Linked DNA regions of Oreochromis niloticus. The protein of the gene in region 1 interacts with the protein of each later gene in a pairwise test. Links are inferred from orthologs where the notes say so. Each region holds a gene or a part of one and is shown on either strand. Other genes may lie near its edges.

Region 1 (11,939 bases):
CCTCCTCCCATCATAACAGGGACAGTGGTCAGGATGTTGCTGCTCATAAGTGTCTGGGGAACGAAAACAAACACAAAAACAGTTTTTAGTCTTAATCATAACCTTTGTTTGCATGTAAATAGCAGTGTTGAATCATGCACAGTGCATACCGGGACTTGCAGAGCTGTGTTTTGGATGGGTGTGGTCAGGGTGGTGATGCCTGCAGGACTCTGCATGGTAGACAGCACCTGTGTCCCGTCTGGTTTGAGAGTTGTGAGAACCAGTGAGTCCGTCTTAAGAATCTGAGGCTGCTGGACCAAAACCTGAGTGAAGACAACCATAAATTGAAGGTTTTCATGTTTGCTTGACTATCACTGTGAAACTAAATATTATGTTAGGGGTTATATTTGCAGTAACTTGGGGTAAAGTTATTTAGGTAAGCTTTGGTGAAATATTCTGATAGCAGAAACTTTGTTTACTCGTCCAATCCTGCTAACAACTGAGGATTACTTACAGGTACTTGTTGCACCTGCTGTTGCACAGTGTGGACTGCAGTGGGCGCTGTGGAGATGGTCTGGATGGTTTGACCTGTTGGGGTCAGAACACGCTGGTGCTGAATGGCCACTGGCTGAAGCTGGGGTGACGTCATGATGCTCTGCACTTGTGGCTGGAGGACTGGAGTAATGAGAGAGAAAACAAAAAAGAGATTTAGGAAAAATAAAAAGCCAAATTAAATTGCATTCCCTGCTCTGTACTCACCTTGGAAGCCCGCAGTAGGGCTCTGCTGGCAAATGACAGGGTTCTGAATGAAGCGGGACTGTCCGCCATTGGAGGCAATCATCACTGTCTGGGTTGCTTGTGTCTGTATGGGCATCGGTGTTTGGCTGTGGGTCTGAACCAGGGTGTGAACTGGGAAGCTTTGAGTCTGCATGGGGATCCCCTGGGTGTGCATCTACATTCAAAAACAGAAAAACAGATTTTTGTTTATCTGTTACAGTCTTTAAGCAGTCAGAAAATGTTTTTATGTCAGCAGAAGCACCACTGCAGCACTAGTCCATCACTGTAACAGTCAGACTACAGCTTTCTCCACTCCTAATAGGACTGTACGAGTAGCGTGTGAGAAAGCGTCAGGTAAATCTGTACCTGGATGGTTGTCTGGGCTGTCTGTTGGGGTTGAGGCTGGATGGGTTGGACCATCTGAGGCCTTGGTTGAAGGAGTGGAGGGCTGCGGGTCACCTGTTGCTGCACTGAAGCACTGGCTGGGGGGGAGGGGGTTTGTGCGGGAGTGAGGGGAGGGGTGAGGGGTACTGAATGTGGGGACAGTGTCTGGGAGGAGGTGAAGCAAGCGTTGGAGCTCTGGTAGGCAGCATTGGTTGAGGGCTGCGGTGTCTGGGGCGTCTGAGCAATTTGAGGTTGAGGCCGTGGGGTGGAGGCGACTCCACCACTCTGCAGAGAGCCTGCTGAGTTCATCTGATCATCGAACAAGTCTGGGAAGTCCCCCACCTGATTGCTGACAAACTGCAGCATCTCTGAAAATAGGGAGAAAGTAAACAGACAAGAAGTCAAAAACATCATCTGAGGTGTATCTGAACATCTCTGCAAGTCTCCTCTGTAAGTGAGGCCTCGTGCAGGTTGCTTCAGTGTAGATCAGCCAAAGATATGAACAGAAACTTCAAGACCTGACCTTGAATTGACAGATATCCACACAAGCACAGCTACTGTTCTGGTCATAAATCAGTATAAAGAAACCTTCAAACAGAAGGCCTTGAAGAAGTTTGATGTAATCTCAATTGATGCTACAAAAGAGATTGGCAGAAAGAGTAAAGAACACTTAGATGAAGAATCGAGCAGCTCTGAAAGGCGTGATAGACAGATACATGCCCCCCACCCACTCACTCACCCACTCACTGACAGTGTGTATGCTGGTCCTCGTGGTTTGGCAACATGACAATATGCACTTAGTTGCCAGTTCATTAGACCCATCGTACTAAATCTAAAACAAACTGCCTCCTCGTGAGGAGAGGTTTTATTAGGAAACAATGATCAACTTAATGTCTTGATTATTTTTGGGAATGTTTTTTTGTATATGAGGTTTAAGTATGAGGTAAAATATTAAGCATTTTTTTGACATTTCGTTTGCAAAAATCACTGATAGAAATAGTGTTGAGACAAAATATCAATACACTTATATAATCATATCACAGCCTCTTGCAATATGTTCCCAGCACATTCTTGTCAAATGCAGTACTGTGCCAAAGTCTTGAACCACCACTCATTTCTTTATATTTTGCTAGAAAAATGGGTAATATGTGCAGCTATTTATCAAAACTTGGGCAAACATGCACACAAATACAGTATTTAGGGCAAAGTGAGCTTTTCTACACTTGTAACAAGCCTGAGAGTCAATATTTGGTATGACTGGCAGCCTGATCTCTCTTAGGCACCTATCAAGTAATCTTCAGGAATACTCCAGACTTCTTGAAGGACATTCAAAGGTCTTGTTTGCATGTTGGCTGCCTTTTGTTCTGTCCTCTGTCAGGATGATCCCATGCCACTTCAATAATGTTGGGTTCTGGGATCTGGGGAGGCCAATCCATCACTGACTGCGCTCCATTGTGTGTTTTTCTATCCAGGCATGCTTTTACTGGGTTGGCATTGTGTTTGGGATCACTGTGTGGATGCTGGAAAATGAAGTTGCTGCCAATAAGATAATTTCCAGATGTTACTGTATGGTGGATCAAATCTGATGGTACTGCTGTTGCTATTGACTCTTTTGGAATCACCGTGTTGGTTCAAATGACTGTCTTGCTAAGTATTATTTACTTTAGTAATTTGAAGGTTAAAGTTTCTAAAATGAATCCCCTTCCAAAAAAAGACAACGATATTATGAAATATCACTGGGACCAGAGAAAAGAATTGATTAGTGCACGCTTTGCAGAATTTCTCACAGGACTTTGGAACTGAAAACACTTTTGACGTATCCCATGTGGTTGAAGCTTGCCTGCTTATGTCACTGATAGTGCCTATGCCCTTAGCTCTCAGGGTCAGCGCAGCGTCAATAAGCTGAGCCTGTAACCTTGAACTTTATCTTAATGTGAGGCGGAGAAATCAGGCAATACAAAAGACACAAAGAACTTTTTGTCAAGTGTTAAATCACTAAGCGCACAACCCTTGGACACCACATATCAATACACCTAAGAAGCCCTGCAAGCCACATGTTAAAGTTAACTACAGTCACTACTTTGCAGCCTCAAAGTGAGTGAATTTTTCCTGCATTAATGAGTGATTTTTTTGGCATCAGGAAAATACAAGGCGACTGTGTAATACAGTACTATAAGACCCTTTATCAATCCCAGCGCAGTGAAACATGTTCTGCATCTTTTATGCCTGCAATAAAGTTACTGCTTCCTTTTTTGGTGATTTGACTTCTAGATAAGGTTCCTACATTTTTTTTAGCACAATATCGCTGCAGGACATTTTGTATTTCTACTTTAATGATGTAATGTTCGAAACAAACGCAACACAAAAAGCACTGGGGTACAAGAATAGATGCTTGAAGCTGCAAAGCGAAGAAGGAAAACTCACAAACTTTTTAAAACACCAAAAGGTTCTCAGATATGTTTGGAAAAGAAGCCAGCATCCTGTCAGCTTTGTCTTTGATCACTCGCTGCATTTCAGTGCAGCGTACAAAAACAATAAAAGGCGTTCGTTCTCATCAGTGTGCCGGGTTGCCAACTCCAGAGATGAATTGAAATCCAACAAGTCTTTAAAACAAACTCATCTGTGTTCAGATCTCATCTTGGATCATATATCATATCTGCATTTCTACTGCTGCAAAATCTCAAGCTGTAAAAAAAGAGATCAACAGTCCAACACTAGCAGCAGAGAGGTCAAGGCCAGTAATTCATGCACTCATAGCCATGACTGAAGTCTGCATGTGACCTGTGTTGACACAGAGGTAAAGAAACAGTGATGACCACTTTCAAAACCAATAAAAGGGAAACACTTTGAGGCTTGCTTTGAAAAGTGAGCCCAGAGGAGCGCAGGACGTGATTTCAAATAAGCCGCACCACAGGAACACTAAATGGGCTTCCTCTCAGGAGCGTTTCTACCAACCATCCAGTCGAATTTACACTTACAGTAGGGCACTCGCACACTTCAACACCTCGAGGGGAGGGGGTTACAGTGGCTGACAGAACAAAGCAACTCTGAGCCCCTGGAGCTTCAGACAGAGACTCCGAAACAAAGGGTAAATCCATTAAATGGGGGTACAGGGCGAGGGTGAGGGTGTAGTGGGGGACAATTTTGTGGGCTGCTGAGAGCAGAGAAAATAAGTTACATAAGCAGAGCAGCAGTTGTTAAGTGAATAATTGGAAAAGCAAGAATATTCGACATTAATACGGAGTCAAATGCACAAAAGAAAAGCTCGTGACTAATCTGAATTTGCAGCAGTTAAATGCTTTTCCTCATGGGAAACCTGCATTTTTCCCCCAAATAGCTGCAGGCAAAATGCACTGAGTGAAGCAAAAGTCAAGTTAGGATCAGTCAAACCTCAACAGTCATTTGACTTTCACACAATCTGCACATTCTTCTTTTGACACATTGATTAAGTGAGATTAAATAGCTGTGACATGGGCTGTTCACCACAGAGAATTAACACCAGATGCCACCGGCAGGTAGGTTTTCAAACCCATGCATAGTAATCTTTTTTTAATCAAAGTCTTTTTATTGAAAAAGGTTTTTGTACAATCACAAACAACAAATTAAACATACAAGCAGTAGAGCATACTGCTTTAAAAAAAACAAAACATAGTAATCTTTATTGGGCTTTGCATGATCTCAGAGCACTTTGGTTGGTTGTATGCTGATGACTAATTTAAACCTAACACAACCAATTCATCCCATACTGTGCGACACACACACACACACACACACACACACACACACACGTGTATCAATCCGGTCTGGTGGGTTAGCATTCAGTAAAATTCCACCCTAATAAAAATCTGGTGACTCTGCGTTGGCCAGCCTCACACCAAAAGCCCCCATCCTTTCACTGTGTGCCAAAGGGTGAAACATGTTTTGATAACAGGGAAGTTGGAACAAGGATGCTGTTTGTTCACAGGGTACAGGCCCACAGACTGCAAAACGCAATCTGTTTTATTTATTTATTTATTTATTTTTGACAGAGATGTTGTCCCACAGATGATGCTCAATTAGGTCTGCAGAAGCAAAAAGATGCTCAAGTAGGAGGAAAAGCTTCCTTCAAGAACAAGAAGAAGGTCAGAAAGTAACTGACACTTCTTATGGAGGAGTCAAGACAACAACAGTATCACTTCTTCATCTTTTAGTTTAGGTTAATTGTTTGTGTGATTGTTTTGTTTTTTTTTGTCTTTTTTTTGTGTGTGTGGGGGGGATTAGAGAAACAAACAGAAGAAAATACACAACGATAATGCCAAAATAACAGAGCATTCGAGGACTACTAAATATAAGTGCTCTCTTTTTTCCTGAGCGGTATCTTGAATACTTAAACATTGTCGCAAGAATTAAGAGCCAGAGCTGCTCATCTCCTTCCGCTCGGCAGGAAGAACAGCTGTCGGGCTAAACGGAAACAGGCCAACACTCGTGAAACACAGCTTACCCTTCCTAATTTTTTTTAAACAGTGACACGGTCACTCACCGTCAATGTCTCCCAAGGTGAATTCGTCCCCTAATTCCGCTAAAGTCGGGTCCATGTTCTCCATGGTGGAGATATACTCCCCGCTGTCCATCCTATCTGTCAGCAGCTCTCCTCTCCGGTTGTCACCGGAGGGACAAAACAAACAAGGTCCACGAGCTCCTCCGTGGGCGTTCGGCAACGCCTACCACACACCTAACTGACCGCGGAATATGTCCTTTCACCTGAACAACCCCAAAACAACACAGAAGCCCCAAGAGAGGAGCACTTCTACACCGATAAACTCATTGGCATCAATTTATGTTTGAGGCGACGCCATCTTGTTTCACGCTCATTACGTCATTCACAAACAGACTCCGTGGCCCATAGCGGGATCTGATTGGCTGAGACCTGTCCGTTCTTGTCATGAGACCAGTCATCATCGTCCAATGACAGGCCAGTATTCGCCGTGGTCTGATAGTACGTCAACCATCAGAAGCTTGGGTGTCATTTGAATAAACCGCTCCCCCTACCTTCATGAAAAGAACCCGACCTCGGTGGACAAATGCTGCTCCTTGGAAAAGATGACGGCGATAAACACACACAGTCATTCTGCAGTCATTCGCAAAAATACACGTTTTAACAGTTTCACTCGTTTCTTAAGCATGTTTTCCAGCGTACGGATTAATACTATCTTATTTATTGTTTACCTTTTAACCCATCAAAGATTACAAGTTGTGTTATAGACAAAAAAGGTTAATGGCATATACTCCAAGTTTTACTTTTTAAGCATAAAAATTGTATGATACTGTGTTAATAAAAATGAAAGAACTACAGTTGAGCTACCCATCTATAGTCACCTGCGACTTTATTAGGTAGGTAATCAATCACATTTAGAATAGAATAGAATAGAATGCCTTTATTGTCACTATACAGTTGTACAATGAGATACAGAGATCTACATTAGGCATGTGGATAAGGTCGACCTGCTGAAGTTCAAACTGAGCACCAGAAACATGGAGAAATATGGGAGTTTAAGTGGCTTTAAGGTTATTGGCATAAACTTGGTGGCAGATGGGCTGCGCTGTGTGTTTTAGCAACTGCTGATCTACAGGGATTTCCCACAGACAACCATCTCCAGAGAGAATTCTCTGAAAAACAGAAAAGTGAGCGGAAGTTCGGTGAGTAAAAATAACTTTTTCATGTCAGAGGTCAGAGGACAATGGCCAGAGTTCTTTAGAAAGGAAGGCAAAATAAGCCAAGGTATGCAGAACAGCATTGCTAAATATACGTTGAACCTTGAAGTAGATGGGCAGCAGAAGACCAGACTGGGTGCTCATCCTGTCAGCTGAAACTGTGGCAACACTTTACATGGGCTCACCCAAACTGCTCAACAGAAAACTTGAAAAATTTTATATAGTCTGACGGGTCTTTCTGCTGGCACGTTCAGATGGTATGGTTCAAATTTGGCGTGAACATGAAAAGTATGGATCTATCCTGCCCTGTATTATGTGGTGGTGGTTTAATGATATGGGGGGTATTTTCTTGGTTCACTTTGGTCCCCTTAGTACCAACTGACCATCACACCACAGCCTACCTGAGTATTGTTGCTGATCATGCCCATCCAGTTATAACTACAGTGTACCCATCTTCTGATGGTTGCTTCTCACAGGATAACATACCCATAAAGCTGACATCATCTCAAACTGGTTTCTTGAACATGAGTTCACTGTACTCAAATGGCCTCCACGGTCACAAGACGTCAGTCCAACAGAGCATCTTTGGGACGTTGTTGTTGAATCCATGCCAGGAAAAATTAAGTCAGCTCTGAAGGCAAAAGGGCTTCCAACCAGGTATTAGTGTACCTAACAAAGTCATCAAATCTATACATTTAAAATGGCACAGATCTTAATTCTAAGCATGATCATTGTTACTTAATGTGTTTCAGAATTCTTCAAATGGAGAACCATAGTTGATTATACTGCCATGTGTGGTGTTCAAAAAGATAACACCAATATAATTCCACAAGGAAAAAAGAAGCCAAAAACGTTAGTTCTTGCAACAATATTTGTATTTTCTTTATTTCACTGCAAAAACACATGAATGAACTGCTAACTCATTTGCAGCATATGTTTTACCTGTGTTAATACATAACTGTATAACTCTCCTGGTTTAATTATTACATGATGTTAAACAGTGCAATAAAACCAGCCAATCACTGCAAATCATTCAGGATGGAAACTTTTCAATACGTCATTAGTCCACTTTGTTCATATACATATTTGGCATGGCAAACACTTTTTTCTGTTTATTATACTCACTGTAAAAAAATTTTTTTTAAGTATGATGTGTGCTCAAGGACTAAGGTGTGTTTAAATACCAACCAGCACTGAAATGCATCACAACCTTCTAACATGTTTAAAAATAAGAAACAGCAGAATCAACACCCATCTAATATGCCTTTCAGTCATCCCACACAAGTGCAAATGTCATGGATTATTCAGCTTCGGCTTGAACCAACATTTAGATTGAGAGATTCTACCTTTTCCTCATAAAGTGGCTTCATATTAATACTGCATACAACTTTATTACACAGATGTTGTTGCTAGCAGTGCATCTTTGATCATTTACAACCATGTAAAAATATCCCTCACTGCAGTAAGTTACTGTGTTGTGTGGTGTTTATTGTGAAGGTGGAAAAATACATCTCTTACATCCTGGATTTGGACTCTACGCTCAGCCTGTATTTATTTGTTCCAGTAGATTTCATAAGACTTCTTCTCTGAGTAGGAAGCCTCCGTCGTTCCTGTGCCGCTTCTCACTTTTTCCTTCACCACCTTCACCACCAGACCACCAGCGAGGGCGATGCCGGCTGCAGCTTTGCCAATTTCGGCCACCGCGCTCAGGATGCGTGCTGTTGCCGACATGGTGCCCCACGGGTCTGATGCAACCCTGCTGGCTGCTGTTGCCACACTGGGTCCTGTTACCCCACATGCAGCACCAGCGGCCACTTCCTGAGCTAAGGCAGCAGCACACTGAGGAGTCCCAGCGGCTGCTGACGCTAAACTACCCTGAGCTACTCCTGCTGCTGCTGCAGTTTCAGCTCCACCGAGGGCAGCTGCTCCCTCCAGAGCTGCTCCTAAAGCAGCCCCACCTGCCATGGTGCATCCCACACCGGCCGCCACCCCGACTGCAGTGGCCCCTATGATGCTAACCTGGGTGAGGGCATCTAAAGCACCTTCTGCAGGACTGGAAGCCTCAGCGCTAGCAATGGCTCCCACAGAACTACCCAGAACTCCACCTGTTGCTGCGCCCAGAGCCACTGCAGTTTTCCCCGAGGCTGCCGCCACTATGGCGCCCACGGCATTCCCCACACCCGAGCCTCCCGCCACGGACATCCCAGCTAACTGAGCTGCAGCAAAACCAATCGAGTTCCCAGCAAGAGATGCCCCAGCTGCAGCTGCCAAAGGGGCAGCCGCTCCGAAAACTGCCCCAACTGCCATGCCAGTGGCTCCAGCAGCCACCAGGACCTTAACTCTCTCCAGCACCTTGGGAGAGAGCGCGGCTTCCCTCCTGAAACGAATCAGTGATGACCGGACAGATGGCCGCCGGCTGACAGCTCTGCCTTGGCCCCGATGTCGGCCTCTGATCTGGTCTCTCAGCAGGCTGAAGGGACTGCTTCTGCTCTCCTTTGCCCATTTCTCCACCCTTAGATCATCTTCACTTCCTCTTTCTACCCCTTTCCTCTGGAGCTCTTGTAATCCTCTCTCGCTGCTTCCTGCTATGTCAGACTCTAAATCACATTTTCTTCTTTTTGCAAGTTTAGCCTCCTCTTCAGTTCTGCAGTTACTTCCTTCTTGGTCTTCACCCTCTGCTTGCCCTCGCTCTCCCAACATCCTATCCTGCTCCTCCCGGATTGCAGCCTCTGCCTCTAAAAACATGGTGTTAGTATAAAACCCTCCGTTACTCTGCCTCACCATGCTGTCTACCTTCACCAAGAGCTCTTTAACTTGTGCTGTGTTACTGGGGTCTTTGTTGTTGAGAACATGGTACCTACCCCCACACTTGTCTATCAGAGCCCTCAGCCCAGGAGGTGCAGTCATTTTCAGATATTCTTCTATCACCATGCCCTCTAGGTCATCCCCCCCTGGTAAAAAGAACCACTGTATGGTGAAATACAGCATCCTCCCCCAAATATCTTGGCCAGCTCACAAACAGCCTGGTTCTCGTTGTCTGTGTATCGTCCTATTGGCACCACAAGGAGGAAAGCGTGGGGGCCAGGGGCAGAGAGAGAGACACATTTGGCAATCTCTGCGTGAATCTGCTCCACACTGAGGTGAGTGTCTCCAAAACCTGGCATGTCAACAACCATGATTCGCCTCACTCTCCTCTGTGGGACGGCCCGGCCATCTTCTTCAGCGAGCTCAGTGCTTCCCATCTCGCAAATCTGAGTGACAGAGCTGGCGCTGACCTGTGACAGGAACTGCCTGCGGCCCAGGATGGTGTTCCCAGATGCACTCTTGCCAGATCCGGTCTTTCCAATGAGGACCAGTCTGAGCTCTTCGCCCCACCTGGTCTCAGAGTCGACTCCTTCCTTCTCACACTCCATGTGTACTGGTTCCTTGTTCCCCTCCCTGTCTTCTAACAGAACATTAGGAGCAGAAAAAATTTGGCGTTAACGTTCAGACTACTTTATTTTTATTTTTTTTTAAATGTTCACTACAAATGTAATGGCCAGTGAAAAAGCAGACAGCAGCCAAGGCTTGTATTATCTCCACTTTGTGTCTTTGGGAAAGATAACAGCAATGTAATGAGCTTTGTAAAGTGAGAGCATCAGGAAGCTTCTTGCACATAAACAAAACATCAATAGGTTAGCTACAAGCAAGAGGGACGCGAAGCTAGCAACATCCACTAGGTGGTTAAATTAAGTGTCTAACTTTAACACCACCCAGTGACAACATACCCTGAAAGTAAACATCAAATGTCGAATGAAGAGCTCACGCTTTAATGTCGTTAATTATACTGCCTGCTAATAATTCGGCCTTAGCACGTTAACGGCTTTAGCTTAGCTTTCGTTAGCAAGTCGCTAACTTTTGACAGAAACATCAAAGTATGATCTTACCAGAGTCCAAATGATGAAACATTTCGCAGAGAGACTAAAAAGCCGTTTCTTCTCTGCATGCCAGCTTGCCCTTCATCCTCTACATGCGGCCACAGATGGGCTGAAGTCAAACTGTTCAGCCCGCATATGAAATGCAAACACTGGACTTTGTGTCTTTGACGGTTTCCTGCCCTCTGTCGGTTCATCTGCTCAACAAAACAAATGTAGCAGGTCTGTGGAGCACAGAGGGGGCTGCTTTCAGCCGCTCTCATATTCACATGTATGATTTGGAAGATTACTTCTTTTTTCTAACCCCCATCCTGACACAATCACAAGAGATCTGCGTGTCTTTCCGGGCTCGAACCGGTAACCTTTTGTTTGTTATTATGCAAATGTGCAAACCCCAAAGTGTAGAGTTGTCACATATAAAGCCCTGATTCTTTGTATAGAGTTTGTGTTACAGTTTTTCCTATTGATAAAGACTGCTCAGCCCAGTTGCCATTCATAATAAGAGTAATTAATAAACAGATAAACAATTAAATGACAGGTAAATGACACAGTAAAAAAAAAGAGAGACATTTTTTGTGAATTAACAAAACCTTTATATTATATAAGTACAGGGACAGTCTGTGTAATGAACTACCAGAGCGTTTTCTGTAATTTTACTTGTATTATTTATTTTGTACTTTCACTGGTCCGGCCCATTTATGGTCAAAGAGGGCTGTGCGTGGCCCACAATGTAAAATGAGATTGACATCCCTACACTATGAAGCCACATGAAGTACAAATATAATATATATCTATATATTGATATATATATATATAATTTTCTTCCTTATGTATCAGAGTCACTTTATTTCATTACACGTGTTAACAAAATGGCTTGTTCATTCTGCAGCAATGATATTTTTCTCTGAATATACATATAGTTTTCATAACAGTCATTATTACTATATGAAAATTACATCACTCTCAATTGTGTAGCTCTGAATCCACAAAACGTGTCAATTTAAAAAGGAAGGGAAAAAAATATGGAAAAAAGGTTAAAGACGAGGGACTTCTAGATGAATGGTCACATGTTGTATTTCCGGTTGACAGGATAAAAATAATGTGAAGGCTCATTAAGGCAGAAAAAACTATATGGTCAATTAAAAAAAAAAATTCTCAAATGAGTCCCTCAGATGGAAATAAAATAGCAGACAT
Region 2 (12,438 bases), on another chromosome or scaffold:
TCTGTAAAACCATATAGCACTGAAATGACAAATGAAGGACGTAGATGACAGCCATGCACGTAAATACACAAATTGCACAACACCAATCTCCCAAGGTGAGAACTACAGGACAGGTGAGGGGAGGGGGAAGGAATGGGAGGGGGAGGGGTGAGGATGGCGGTAAAGGACAGACATCTCATCGTTGCAGAGAGATGGAGAAACATCCAAAAGTGGACGTTTTTAAAAAAAAACAAAAAAACAAAAAACAAAGACAACTTAAGGTCTTCTCGCTGTGTATGTGTTCAGCTGTCAGACTTACCCCTGTGCCCTTCATGGTGAACGGCCTGGAGCACAGCAGAATAGAGAGAAACAGATAGCCCTGTCCAAGTCTCCTTGAAAGCAGCAGCAGAGGCAGCACAGAGGTTGACAGAAAAACTCTCGTGCTCCTTCACTTCCTTCAGTCCCCCTGATCGTATCAACAGACAAAAGGCACTCTGGCTGGCTTTAAAAAGGCTTTAAGCCCGGACACAGAGCGAAGAGCGAGCCCCCCCCTTCTTCCACCCCTCCCTCTTTTCTCTCTCTCCCCCACTCTGCCTTTACACATTGCCCCGTCTCCTTCAACAGCCTCCCAATGTCCTCTTCCAACCTAGACATACAACCCCGTCTCTGCTGTTTCTCTTCAGCCCAAGTCCCTTCAACTCGCTGACCTTCTCTCTCTTTCTCCTCCTTTCTGCTCCCTAACCCTCCTCCTCCTCCTCTCTAGCCGGCGACCCATGTGTTTGTCTTTGAGGTGACCCCTGGCCTGGTGCAGAGAAGAAGGTGAGAAGGAATAGAAGGACCAGCACAGCGGCAGGCAACAGCGCAACAGCAGGCAAATAGTACAGCGGCACTCCCGACTCACAGACAAAAATTTCTAGCCTCCTTCCCCTTTAACATTCAAGAGTAATCAATCTAGCATGCTACATGATACTCAAACCCCGCCTCGCAGCCAGCTCCCACCTCACTCCGATACTCGAAACCAATGAGACGACTGTGTCCTCATACACTATTGGTAGCCACACACACCAATCAGCTCTGACAAATCCCCTGCTCCTCCTCTTTCCTCTGCCCAACCCCCTTTTACCGACAGCCAACTTCCTGCTCTAAGTTACCTTGAGCTGCAGGATAGGGGTCAGGGAAAAGAAAAGAGGAAGAGAGTAGACATGAGAATAGGTGAAAAAGAGCAGATAAAGTTGTGGAAAGCTCTGTAGGGAGTGCGTGAGGGTGTGCTGGTTGTGGCTTGCCTTGCCATTGTCTGTCCTCAAGCGGTCTCTACTTCTCCTGCTGCTGGACGGATGAGAAAGCTTCCACGGGCTGCTCTCTGACAACTGGTCTCTGCTTATTTACAATGTCAAACTAAATGTCTCCCTAAGCCCCGCCTGCGCTCTGCTTGTACAGGCTGACGGCAATGTGATGCAGGCAGCTATGCGGGCACCTTATTGGCTGAACCAAGTGCCAGAATTGATGCCGCATGTTGCATCCACATGATTTAAAGTACAAAAGCATACTAAGCAGACTCCCTGTCTCATACCTGTGCACGGTCTTACATGCACACCCACACACATGCACATTTTGTCCTTGCATTCTCAGTTATCCTTGCTCACAGTCACAGGTACACACCGAAAACATCTAGCCTCCAGCCAGCCTACCTCTAACAATGAGATTCACATCACTCTTAATATTATTCAAACAGAGGAACAAATATATCTAGATGCTTGGTCATGCATTATGTATTCAGAATATTAATTAGCTAGACAAACTCCATTCAACAAATTTTTTGACTCATGTGAACATTTAGTGAGGCAACTTAATGCAACCACTATAAATCCCATGACACCCTACACAGTGTCAATCAAATATACACAATAAACTATTCTGTGCAAAACAAATCAATAGAGAGCCTTTGTACAAAATGGAACAATCAGCTGACTAGATAGCAGTTGTGGAAGAAGGCAGAGAGAAAAAAGAAAAAGAAAAAAAGAAAGAGTTCATTTGACTCTCATCCTATTTGTGGATAAACAAGACTTAAGAGATATGGGTGAAAACCCATAAACAAAGACAATGTTGTCTTGACCCCAAAAACTGTGCTCACAGCAACTTCCACAATGGAAACGTCATCAAAAAAAACCACGTCAGCAATGTCACACAATGTCCTTCTTGTTAATTCTCCATTGCTTAAATGTGCATACTTTCGACACAAAAACCTTTAGTGTGCAACTCAAGAGAGTGATTTTAGTACTCATGTGCACATCTCATGATGTTTAATGCACCACCTACGACGTGAATGCTTCTACTTCTAATGGGCAAACCTGTTAAAAGCTTAGAGAGTAAACTGCTGAGATACGACCAAGTGGCGGTGCAGCCCGAAGGTTAAGCTTTAATAAAAAAATAAAAAATACAGACTGTAGAGAGGAACACATCCAGCTACACAAGAGTCAAGGAAAGATAATAAACTGCCCTATCAATGAAAAACCGGGGTGGGGGGTGGAGTGGGGACCGGAAGGATGGAGAAGGACAGAGAGGAGAGCTGCTACAGGAAGGGAGGGGTAGAACAAGTGGAGGGAGGGCGAGAGCACAAGATAGACTCAAGAGAAACAAAGCTAAATGTTCCCTTTACTATTTTTGTGAGGAGCATGGGGACTAGAGCAGGTACTACAGACATCCAGTTAATGATTAGAGCAGAGCTGCACAAAGACTAATCTCTCCACTGCTGTTGCCATGCTCGAACAGCTCTCTGTAGCTGCATTCAGTCTACCCAAAATGCCTCAGTAATGACACCTGGCAAGGTCACCACAGAAATGAGACCTTCCCATGACCTGTACTGCCCATAGCAGGAACATGTTTGCTTTCTCTGACGCTGTTTAGAGATAAACATGCACCAACCAGACGTTGGGTTTCATAAACACAGCAGCTACCCTGAGGGTAGCCAGGCCAAGCCATGCATTCACCTGCAAACATGGAAAAACACATGAACACCTGCAAAACGACATGGTAAGCTGGGCGACTTGCACACAGCTTACTTAAGCTGTCTAAGGTGCTCTAATATCCCAGGCTTTTTAAATATGACCTCAACTGCTCAATTAAACCTACACACAAATGATGACGTAAAGCATACCTCCTCTAGAGAGATAAAGTATACTAAGTTGCACACCGTTTTTGTCCCGCTGATAAGAGCTGATTAAGCTCTCCTATTCTTTATTAAGTTCTTATATTCGTGGGAACACAACAAAGAGACTGTATTGTTTTCTGCACACAGGTCGTAGTAAGAATGGGGTGAATATCTGTTAGGTTTAAAGCATAACTAAACTAAATATTAACTTGGTGCATCTTCATGTTGTGTGACTTTGGTTAGTATGGTTGAAAATACAGCTGTATTCATTAATTAAACATTGTGTGCAAGATTTTTTTTTTCCAAGTAATGAATAGTTTAAACAAAGGCATGATATAGTCATCACAGGGAATTCACACGAGGAGTAGAGCAGCTTTGCGCTTTAACACCCCAGCATTTAGCACGGAGGTTGACTTTAAATAGTCGCTACATTATAAGGTGTTTGGGTTCAACACAGCGGCTAAAAGGAGCCAGGGAATTCAATGCTATATTCAACGCTAGCATACGGAAGCCGGTATATATTCGTCACACAAAGGATGCTAAATAAACTACAAAATACTGAGATGCACTGTAGTGCTGTGGTACCCACTGTGAAATGCTTAACGGAGCAGGCGTAGGAAGACACATACAGCATACTAGCTAATAGGATGGTCACTGCTGACCGTGACTTTATGCTAACGTTAGTGGAGTTAATGTTAGCTGGCTGGGGATGCAGACTGATGAGAGCTGTACAGCTCAGCGTGTGTAATTTTAATTACCAGCTGACAGCGAGCCCTGCCAACATATGAAAGTTTGCAAAGGTTTGCAATGCTAGGAAGAAACAGTCTAACCAATAAAGACAACGTTTGGATCTGTCCTTCAGACCAATCAAACCTCGGACTAGATTCCACCAATCAAGGTTTTTAGGGCTAAGTTCGTTCTGCAACTGGCGCCATTCGGGGTCAGGCGCAAATAGCCAGTGTGTCTGACAGTCGCTCAGATATGAGCCAAAATGGTGGACACAAAACATCAGTTTCCTGAGCGTCCGTGATCCTTTCAGCGGGCCACCAATAAGCGCCTCAGAGAGCGGGGAGGGAAATGGCGCCTATGTTCATCTTCCAAAACAATCGTCTATTGGTCAAGAACAGCAAATGAAAAGAAGCGAAGTAATTACAGCTACCTCCAGCCAACACGGACAACTTTCATGTAAACACTCCACAGATAAATGAATTTTAATTTCTTACTCACTTTCTTTATCGGGTTCGAAGTGAAGTCCAGCTCAGCGTATTATTTATTTTATTTAGCCTGCAAGGGGAAACAAGATGGCTGCTATTCGAACCGGAAAGAGTCCAACGCGATGACGTAGAGGTTACGTTCCCCGAGAAAGCGTCAGTGTGAGGTTTTTTGTTTGTTTGTTTTTTATTATTATTTGATTCACTAAACAGTTAATTGCTCAGGTAGTCTATATATCTCCAAGTCCTCATTTATAGTAAAATTAGCAAAGTGACTTGGAAAAAACAAATACATTTTATATATACATACACAGATATATACAGCATATATGCATTATATATGAACCGCTGAAGTTCAAACTGAGCACTGGAATGGGGAAAAAGGTGATTTCATTGACTTTGAATGAGGCATGGTTGCTGGTCTGAATACTTCAGAAACTGCTGATCAACTGAGATCTTCACAGTCAACCAAAAAATATATAGATCCAGTGAGTTCTCTGAGAGAAAATGCCTTGTTGATGTCAGTGGTCAGAGAACAGACTGTTTCAAGCTTAGAGGAAGGCATCAGTCACTCAAATAACCACTCATTAAACACAAATTATGCAGCAGCGTATTTCTTAATGCACAACACGTCCAACCTTGAAGTAGATGAGCTTTAGCTGCAGAAGATCACATTGGGTGCCACTTGTCTCAGCTAAGAACAGGAAACTGAGGCTACAATTTGCCCAGGCTAAGCAAAATTGGGCAACAGAAGATTGTAGACCAGTCAGTGTTTTCCTCAGAGTCTCATTTTCTGCTGCAACATTCAGATGGTAGGTTCAGAATTTGGCATAAATATGAAAGCCCTTCCCTTTATAACCAGTGTTCCCATCTTCTAATGGCTGCAGCCAGCATGACAAAGCACCACGAAGCTCAAATCATTGCAAATTAATTCAGTTAATTCAAAATAAATTCACTGAAAATATGAAATACAATGATGGCAATAAGAGTATTACTTTTCTGGCTGCTGGTCAGTAAGGAATTTGAAAAAAATGAAATGATTACAACTGCAGTAGACAAGTGTTTTAATTCTTACACCAGACGTCAACATTTGATCAACCAAGGTCTTTGCAAATATCCAACACAAACAACAACAAAAAAAAAAAAAAACAGAAAGAAAGAAAAATGAAGGGAAAGAAATTTAAACCCAAATCACATTTTAAAATCTAAGCTTTACCCTTAAAACACTGCATTATAATACATGACTATTATGGAGATTGCAGTGATGACATTTATTTCCTTGCCACAAGTTCCAGGAGGGCGGAGGTGATTTTGTCCAGGTTGTTAGAGTACCGGGGTCCTCTGGGCATCCTGGATTCTTGTTCCATGTGGAGGGGAGGTGCAGAAGAGTGAGAGTCGAAAAACTCTCCAACAGGAGGCTGGTAGTCACGAGACGGCAGGGATTCTGGAAACCTTTCAGGATAATAGGGCGGCTCATCTAAGCAGTTTGTATGAGGAGCTCCAGATTCCTCTGAAAAAACAAAAAACAAAAACAAAAAGAGGAATGAAATTGAATTACATGAAAGAAAGTGGAATCAGGCACACTTCCTCTGACACAGGGAAGCTGAATATACAACTTATTGTTTATTATCTTATTTAACGATGCAATCAAATTCATTTATTACATAAAATCAAAAGGTGAATTTAGACACCTTTGCAAACTATGCCTCATTATACATAAATTGAACTAAACTATCCTAAAAGATACCACAACAAAACTCAAAATACATTCAAAGAAGAAAATCCCATCAATTTTCATTTAAACCTCAAAGTTCATAAGGTTATTTTATTAATACGTCAATAAATTGGCATTCGATCCATACAACAACACATACAGCACAATTCCAGACAAAAGGCGTGATTATACCCCTCCCTCTCCTGTTTATCAGACCTGAACCATGCCTGTTGTTAATGTGATGAACTATACCTGTGGTTATTCTGCTACAGACACATGTTCATGTGGAACTGACTTGAAAGCACAGAGCTGGGAACATCACAGCCTGCAACTGAGCAGATAAATTCGTTTTTAACTGATGAGATATAGAAAGGATTTTGAAATGAAAAAAGCAGCCAAATGATGATTTAAGCCACAGAAGAGGATCTTTCAGCAGGACAATAATTCACAGCCTACCAGCTGCCTGCTGAAAGAATATTTTCTAATAGAGGGGCCCTCCCAGAGCCCTGACCCAAATCCCACAGATCACCCGAGGGATACCATGGAGAAAATTACGTCAGCTGGTCGAAGCTCTGGTTTGGATGAACTGAGAGCCTTGCTGAGTTGAACATTAGGGAAAACTTTGCAGGTATTATAGAAACTGATCTACCCTACCTTTCTGGTACAAGCAGCTCTACTAATGGATGAAAGGGTCTTTAAAGAAGCAACTACTGAGTGGCCTTCTACTGTCTGCCTTTATTTTGAGCTGTATATTGATTTAAAACCTACCATACTTATTTTTGCCTAATATTTTTCAAGAAAATTATGCTTGTGTTATTTTTATTGATATCTCTAACTTTTATATAAGACTATTGAACCCTAATGGGTTTAAATAAACTGCACTGTGATGTACTATACCTTCAAAGCGGCCTCTTTTTGAGTATCTGGAATCTTCGTGTGCAGGGGGGGGATAAACATTGTGCCGCTCCTCTGGAAGATGCTCACGCTGCCTCCAGTCTCTGAAGTCGAGGTCTTCTGACTGTCTGTGGTGCGAATCATCTCTCATGTTCCTCTCGAACGGCGGCTGTCGAGGGTCCAGCTCCATGTTGCTGTAGTTTCTGGGGATCCCTTCTCGACCGTGGCTGTTCTGCTACCATGACAAAACCAAACGTTTTGTTAATATAAGCAAAGTCTTTGTGTTCTTTTACTAATATTATATTAAAAAGACAGGCGGTGTGCAGAATGACTCATACCACAGCTTTCTCCATCTTTTTCGTTTTGAATTCTTTAAGCAGGTTGCAAAGTTTACTTTTCAAGAAGTCAGCCTCTTCAGCATTCTCAATTTCAATGTTGCTCTAAGAAAATGTGAAAGGGGAAAAAAAAAAACAACACACTGAGAACTGAGTGAATAGTTGCATAACAAAAACATGACTCACAAACATGTGCAAGTCGCCAATAACGACTAATTATCTTACCAGCATATCAAAGACGCCCTCCGACTCAGAGCCTCCTCTTTGGTTCATTTCAGGATGATGTGGACCCTAAAAAAGCAAAAGGTCTTGCGTCAATAAAGATTTGTTTTACTGGACATTACTCTACTGTGATGTTAAAATAAACTACCTGTGGTTCTCTGTAGAGGTCTGAAAATTGTCCTCCACTCATTGGTGCACTACCTGGCCTTGCGTCACCTCCAAACTTTGGATTTGGAGATCCATAATTATCCCCATACCTGAAAGCAGCAATCACACATGTAAAAAAAAAAATAAATAAAAGCAGCCCACAACACTTTCCAAAAAAAAAAAACAACTACAATTTTTACACTTACATTTCCCTTGTCCCTTCCACTTCCTCTGGAGTAGCATCAGAGAAGCGGCTCTTTCTTTTCCTTTTACCGTGAACATCATCTTCGGCGCCTCCTTTCAGGAACCGCCTGAATGGCTCTGGGATGTTAGAAATGGTTCTGCCAACATCCATGTGTCTCTGTGAGGCTGGGCCTCCAGCTCTCCTATCAACTGCCTCATCTTGATGCGCCTCTCTCAACTCATGACGATAATCTTGAATTATATTGAACAAATTGTCACGTGATCGGTCCCCCTCCATAGATGGAGAGAAGTTCCTCCTCCTGGCTTCTGGTTCACTTGATCCCTGTCTACCTGCTTTGTTCATACCGTCGTGCCTATCAGCTTCCCTCTCCAGGGACCACCGCAGTTTATCACCTTCAGGGTACATGGCCTGGGAGGGTGAATACTCAGAACGACCGTTCCCACCCCTGACATCCTCAGAGTGGAAATCCTGAACAGACTCTCTTTCTGGATAGGCTCTTCTATAAGGAGGTGCCCCCTCAGGGTAATAGTCAGACTGACCAAGGCCACGAGGCAAATCCTCCCTAAAATCATACTTGGGAGCATCACCTCGCTCAAGTGCCAAACTTCTTTGTGAATCTCCACCATATCCCTCTTCATACTGATGACGATAATCAGAGTCCATGTAGCCTTCTCTGTACGCATGGCCTTCCCTGAAATCCGACCTTCGCGGTTCATCTCTGGTGCGCTCATTGCTAAGCCTGTTCTCCCGCTGGCTGCGCCTGTCTACGTTCATGTTAGGTTCATTCGGAGGAAATGCAGATGCGTTTGGGTAACTTGAGGCATGCTTCCTTCGGTGATAGTCCTTGAGTTCGGGTAGGAGTGGTGGCAAATCTTGTGGGTTCGTCTGCTCCCTGTTTTGCCTCTGCCTTTGGAAAGCTAATAATCAAGTAATAATTAGAGAAAAATACAACCAAACGTTTTCCCAATGTGTCTGTAACCTTTCCTTGTATTTTAAAATTACTTTTTAACCATGTTTAATATCAATCAAGTTACCTCTTGAGCTGTTTGATCTACTCTCGTTCCCCTTTTTGAACAATGACTGAAAAAAAACAAGAACAAAACAAGAATAATAAACATTTACTGTATGTAACAAAATGTATAGAATTTTAGAAGAATGTAAAATATGGTGTGTAATTTGGGTAATTCATCTGGCATACCTTTGGAGTCCCTCTACCATCCTGTCTCTCTATTATTTCTGCTTTGGCGCGCATGATCTTCCCCCCGAGGGTTTGTACAGAGGGTCTATCCCAGGTCACCAAGTCAGGCCGCTTCAATTCCTACAGAAAGGGAATGTGATCTCTCTTTGCTTTAACATCTTATTATAAAGGAAAACAGAATAACAAAGAAGGTTTTAAGTAATGCTCTGAATGCTTTACCACATATTTCTGCCTGTGTTTGCGTCCAATCACATGACAGACCATTTCTGCAAGGACAGCTGACTGATTACAGAGCTTACATAAGTATTTGGGGCCTATTTGTCGGTCACTAGGAGGCCCCTCTTCCAAAAAGTTCAAACCTGGAAATTAAGAACAAACAAAAAGTTAAAAACAATCAAATAATCTGGTATTTTAAAAAAACATCTGCTTAAAACTTTCTGCAAAGTTATTCACCAATGATAGGCTCATCCAGATTCAGGTAATCCAGGTACTCTATAATATCCTTAAACTCCGGTACGTGTCTTCTGACAGACCGTCCTGGGAAGCCACATGCTGATAGTTAGCAAAAAGAAAAAAACTACACAGTGTTTTTAAAAGTCATCATCACAGTATAGCAATAAGACAGAGCAATACTAACTGGTGGTGACTAACTGCTTCAATTTAAACTCCTTATTAGAGGGTGAGTCTTTATTAAGGGTTAACAGGGGTAAGGGAAGATTATAAGTGATTATAAGACAAGGCCTGGTGTACTGTAGCTGCAGCTGAATGGTATAAAATCTTCAGCTTAGATCTTAACTATCGTAGATTTCTGATATACTATCATCTAATGTATGAGCTCCAGTAGAACTTCCAGTCCAGACATTTTATTTTTTTCATGTTGCTTTTTGAATGTCATCAGACGAGGAAAAAAAAATTGTTCCCATGATTTTCTGAAACATGTACCTTGTGTGGCATAATGGATTTATTAGCAAAAAACATCTGAACTCTAATGGTACCTATATTACCAAATAAGAATTTTTTTATTATTTTTTTTTTTTACAATATCCCAATATTATTGTATAAAAAAAATCCCAATAATAGTGTAAATGTTTAATTTACTTGTGCAAAGGGCATAAATAAAACCAAGTTATTAAAGTGCATACTTGTACAACATGTTCCTTTATAAAAGACAGTTACACCAAACTCTGGACAGATCTGCAGAGATGTTTACTTATGCCTTTCATCATCTGAGTGTGGAGTATTAGTGCACCCACAGATGTCCTGCCACTAGAATAACTGAATACATATGTATAGTTGCTAAATTTAGTCAGAGTGGATTTTGAGGGAGTCATACAGGCACAGGCTGGCCAGTGCCATCTAATTTTGTGCAAACAGCTCGTTTGACTGACATTTTTAGAAGTTGTGAAGATTTCCAACAAGCTGCAGCTGTTGCTTGAAGAGCAACACTGGAAAAGCTGCATTTTAGTAGCCGTGTGTGGTTTAAGAGCAGTACAGTATTTTTTCTGATCTTGATACGAAAATGCTACACATCCATTTCAGCAGCTGATCATGTAACACCATAATTAAATCACAAAAAGGCTTTTAATGCAGCCAAATTTGGCCAAAACTGCAAAGATCCAGAAAGGAAAAGAAAAACTTAAATGAGCGGAGAAAATGCAGATGCTTCTACAAGTGCACTTCATGGTAAATAGCATCCAGTCACGCTCGGCGGCACGTATACAAACGCAGGCCCAGTTGGTTCTGTTTTTGAATCACAATGGCAAGTGCAAAACATCAAAGTGGCTTTGAAACAGGGTTCATTCTTGGGACACGAGCGGCAGGAGCTTTAATCGCTTGAGGCACCAACACGCTCTGCGGCAGTGATCTAATAAGCATGGGTAGGACATCAAGTTTGATGCATGAAGGCTGTACGATAATACCTACTGACTCAAGGGCAACAATGTACAGCTGCAAAATCTTCATTGTTTGTTTCCTTGCTACATCCACCTTGTCACGGGTCCTGTTAACAGATGTAGACACATTGCAGCTGCCACAGCTCAGATATATTTTCCTCTGTGTTGGAAACAGGTAACACTTCCATTTATTCTGTTTTTTTCCCCCACATATGCTGATGTCTCTCTTGCATTCCCACTGGCTGGGTAGTAGACACAGGTCATGGCTGAAGTTTCACTGTGAGCTGTCCTAAACTTCTGACCCTGTCAGAAATTTTCCCCAGCCTCTGTTTTGGTAGAAAAGCTGTAAGAACAGCCAGCTTTGATCCTCTCTCGCTGTAAGATGTTGGCTCACCGCTTTGGAGCCACAATCAAAGATGGCACCACTGCCATCCATACCCAGCTCCCCTAATATGGGATTTTTGGGGCAGATGCTGATACTTATTTTCCATCCTTCCATTCATTTAACATTTTTTTTGTCACTTATCCAATTCAAGGTGGTGGGGGGTCTGGAGTCTATCCCAGGTGGCTTAGTGTAAGAGGCAAGGTAAACCCTGGACAGGTCATCAATCCGCGATAGGGTTAACACGGACAGACAACCATTCACACCTATGGGCAATTTAGAATCACCAATTACTTTAACCCCAATAACTGGATGTCTTTGGACTGTGGGAGGAAGCTTGAGTACCCAAAGAGAACTCGTGCAGACACAGGGAGAACATGTAAACTCCACACAGAAAGGGCCCGGGTCAAACAGTAGATTCAAATGATATGTGTATTATGCATCTGTGAAAGGCCGATATCTGCCGATTTTAATCAGCCAACCAATCAGTCAATTCCAATCCTTTTGGGTCATTAAAGGACTTTTATGAGTTCACCTATGGAAGAGTTTGGGAAAATTTGTTACATAGGTGTAACAATAGCTCCATATTGCAGTGGTTCTAACAGCGAAACATCCAGTTTAAACTCAGGAGGAGACAAACATCCCTTTTGGCTTGCCTCGGGAAGGATATCCAGAGTTTAAAAAAAAACTCAAATCATCTACCCACTGTGGCGACTCCTGGTGAATAAAAGAGCAGCTGATGGTAGCTTTTTACACAGGTGTAATCATTTTCACCATTCCAACTATGGAAGGGTTCAAACTGGGTCCACGTGATGGAAATTTGATCATCAGATGGTCAGAGCGACACTCTGACATACATCCACATCCCTCCAAGTTTTCTGTGACCCTGTGGACCCATTTACAGAGATGAGTCCACCGGGTAGAAGTCAAAAAAGTATGCCAAGACTTCTTCTCCGTAGCGTCTGCAGCTGTCCGAGTATAATCTTCTACTTACGGCTTTTCCAAGGTTTTAAATTGGTAGTTTGCAGAGTTTACCACCAGCTCTGCAGACCACTGTTACATGGTGTAGCTGTTTACTGTCAGCAGGGGGCTGACAGTAAACAACCAGTGC

What was found.
Region 2: the proteins of srebf2 (region 1) and nfyc interact in binary tests that used the Homo sapiens proteins (3 or more experiments, as listed by UniProt). The link is inferred for Oreochromis niloticus from reciprocal best matches to the Homo sapiens genes SREBF2 and NFYC.

What each region holds. Positions count from the first base shown.
Region 1 is NC_031969.2:10,061,765-10,073,703, reverse strand, and holds the start of srebf2 (sterol regulatory element-binding protein 2), read right to left. Parts: upstream 6,015-11,939; 5' UTR 5,751-6,014; coding exon 5,660-5,750; intron 1,509-5,659; coding exon 1,123-1,508; intron 932-1,122; coding exon 739-931; intron 655-738; coding exon 494-654; intron 303-493; coding exon 150-302; intron 54-149; coding exon 1-53. Other genes in the region: uncharacterized protein LOC100696172, read right to left, coding at 8,383-9,819.
Region 2 is NC_031985.2:22,026,415-22,038,852, forward strand, and holds the start of nfyc (nuclear transcription factor Y subunit gamma), read right to left. Parts: upstream 4,504-12,438; 5' UTR 4,355-4,503; intron 1,378-4,354; exon of another isoform or gene 1,263-1,377; intron 1,050-1,262; exon of another isoform or gene 299-1,049; intron 1-298. Other genes in the region: uncharacterized protein si:ch211-13c6.2, read right to left, coding at 5,610-5,848, 6,950-7,181, 7,285-7,386, 7,507-7,572, 7,652-7,760, 7,857-8,772, 8,890-8,935, 9,054-9,173 and 2 more. UniProt on the Homo sapiens protein: Component of the sequence-specific heterotrimeric transcription factor (NF-Y) which specifically recognizes a 5'-CCAAT-3' box motif found in the promoters of its target genes.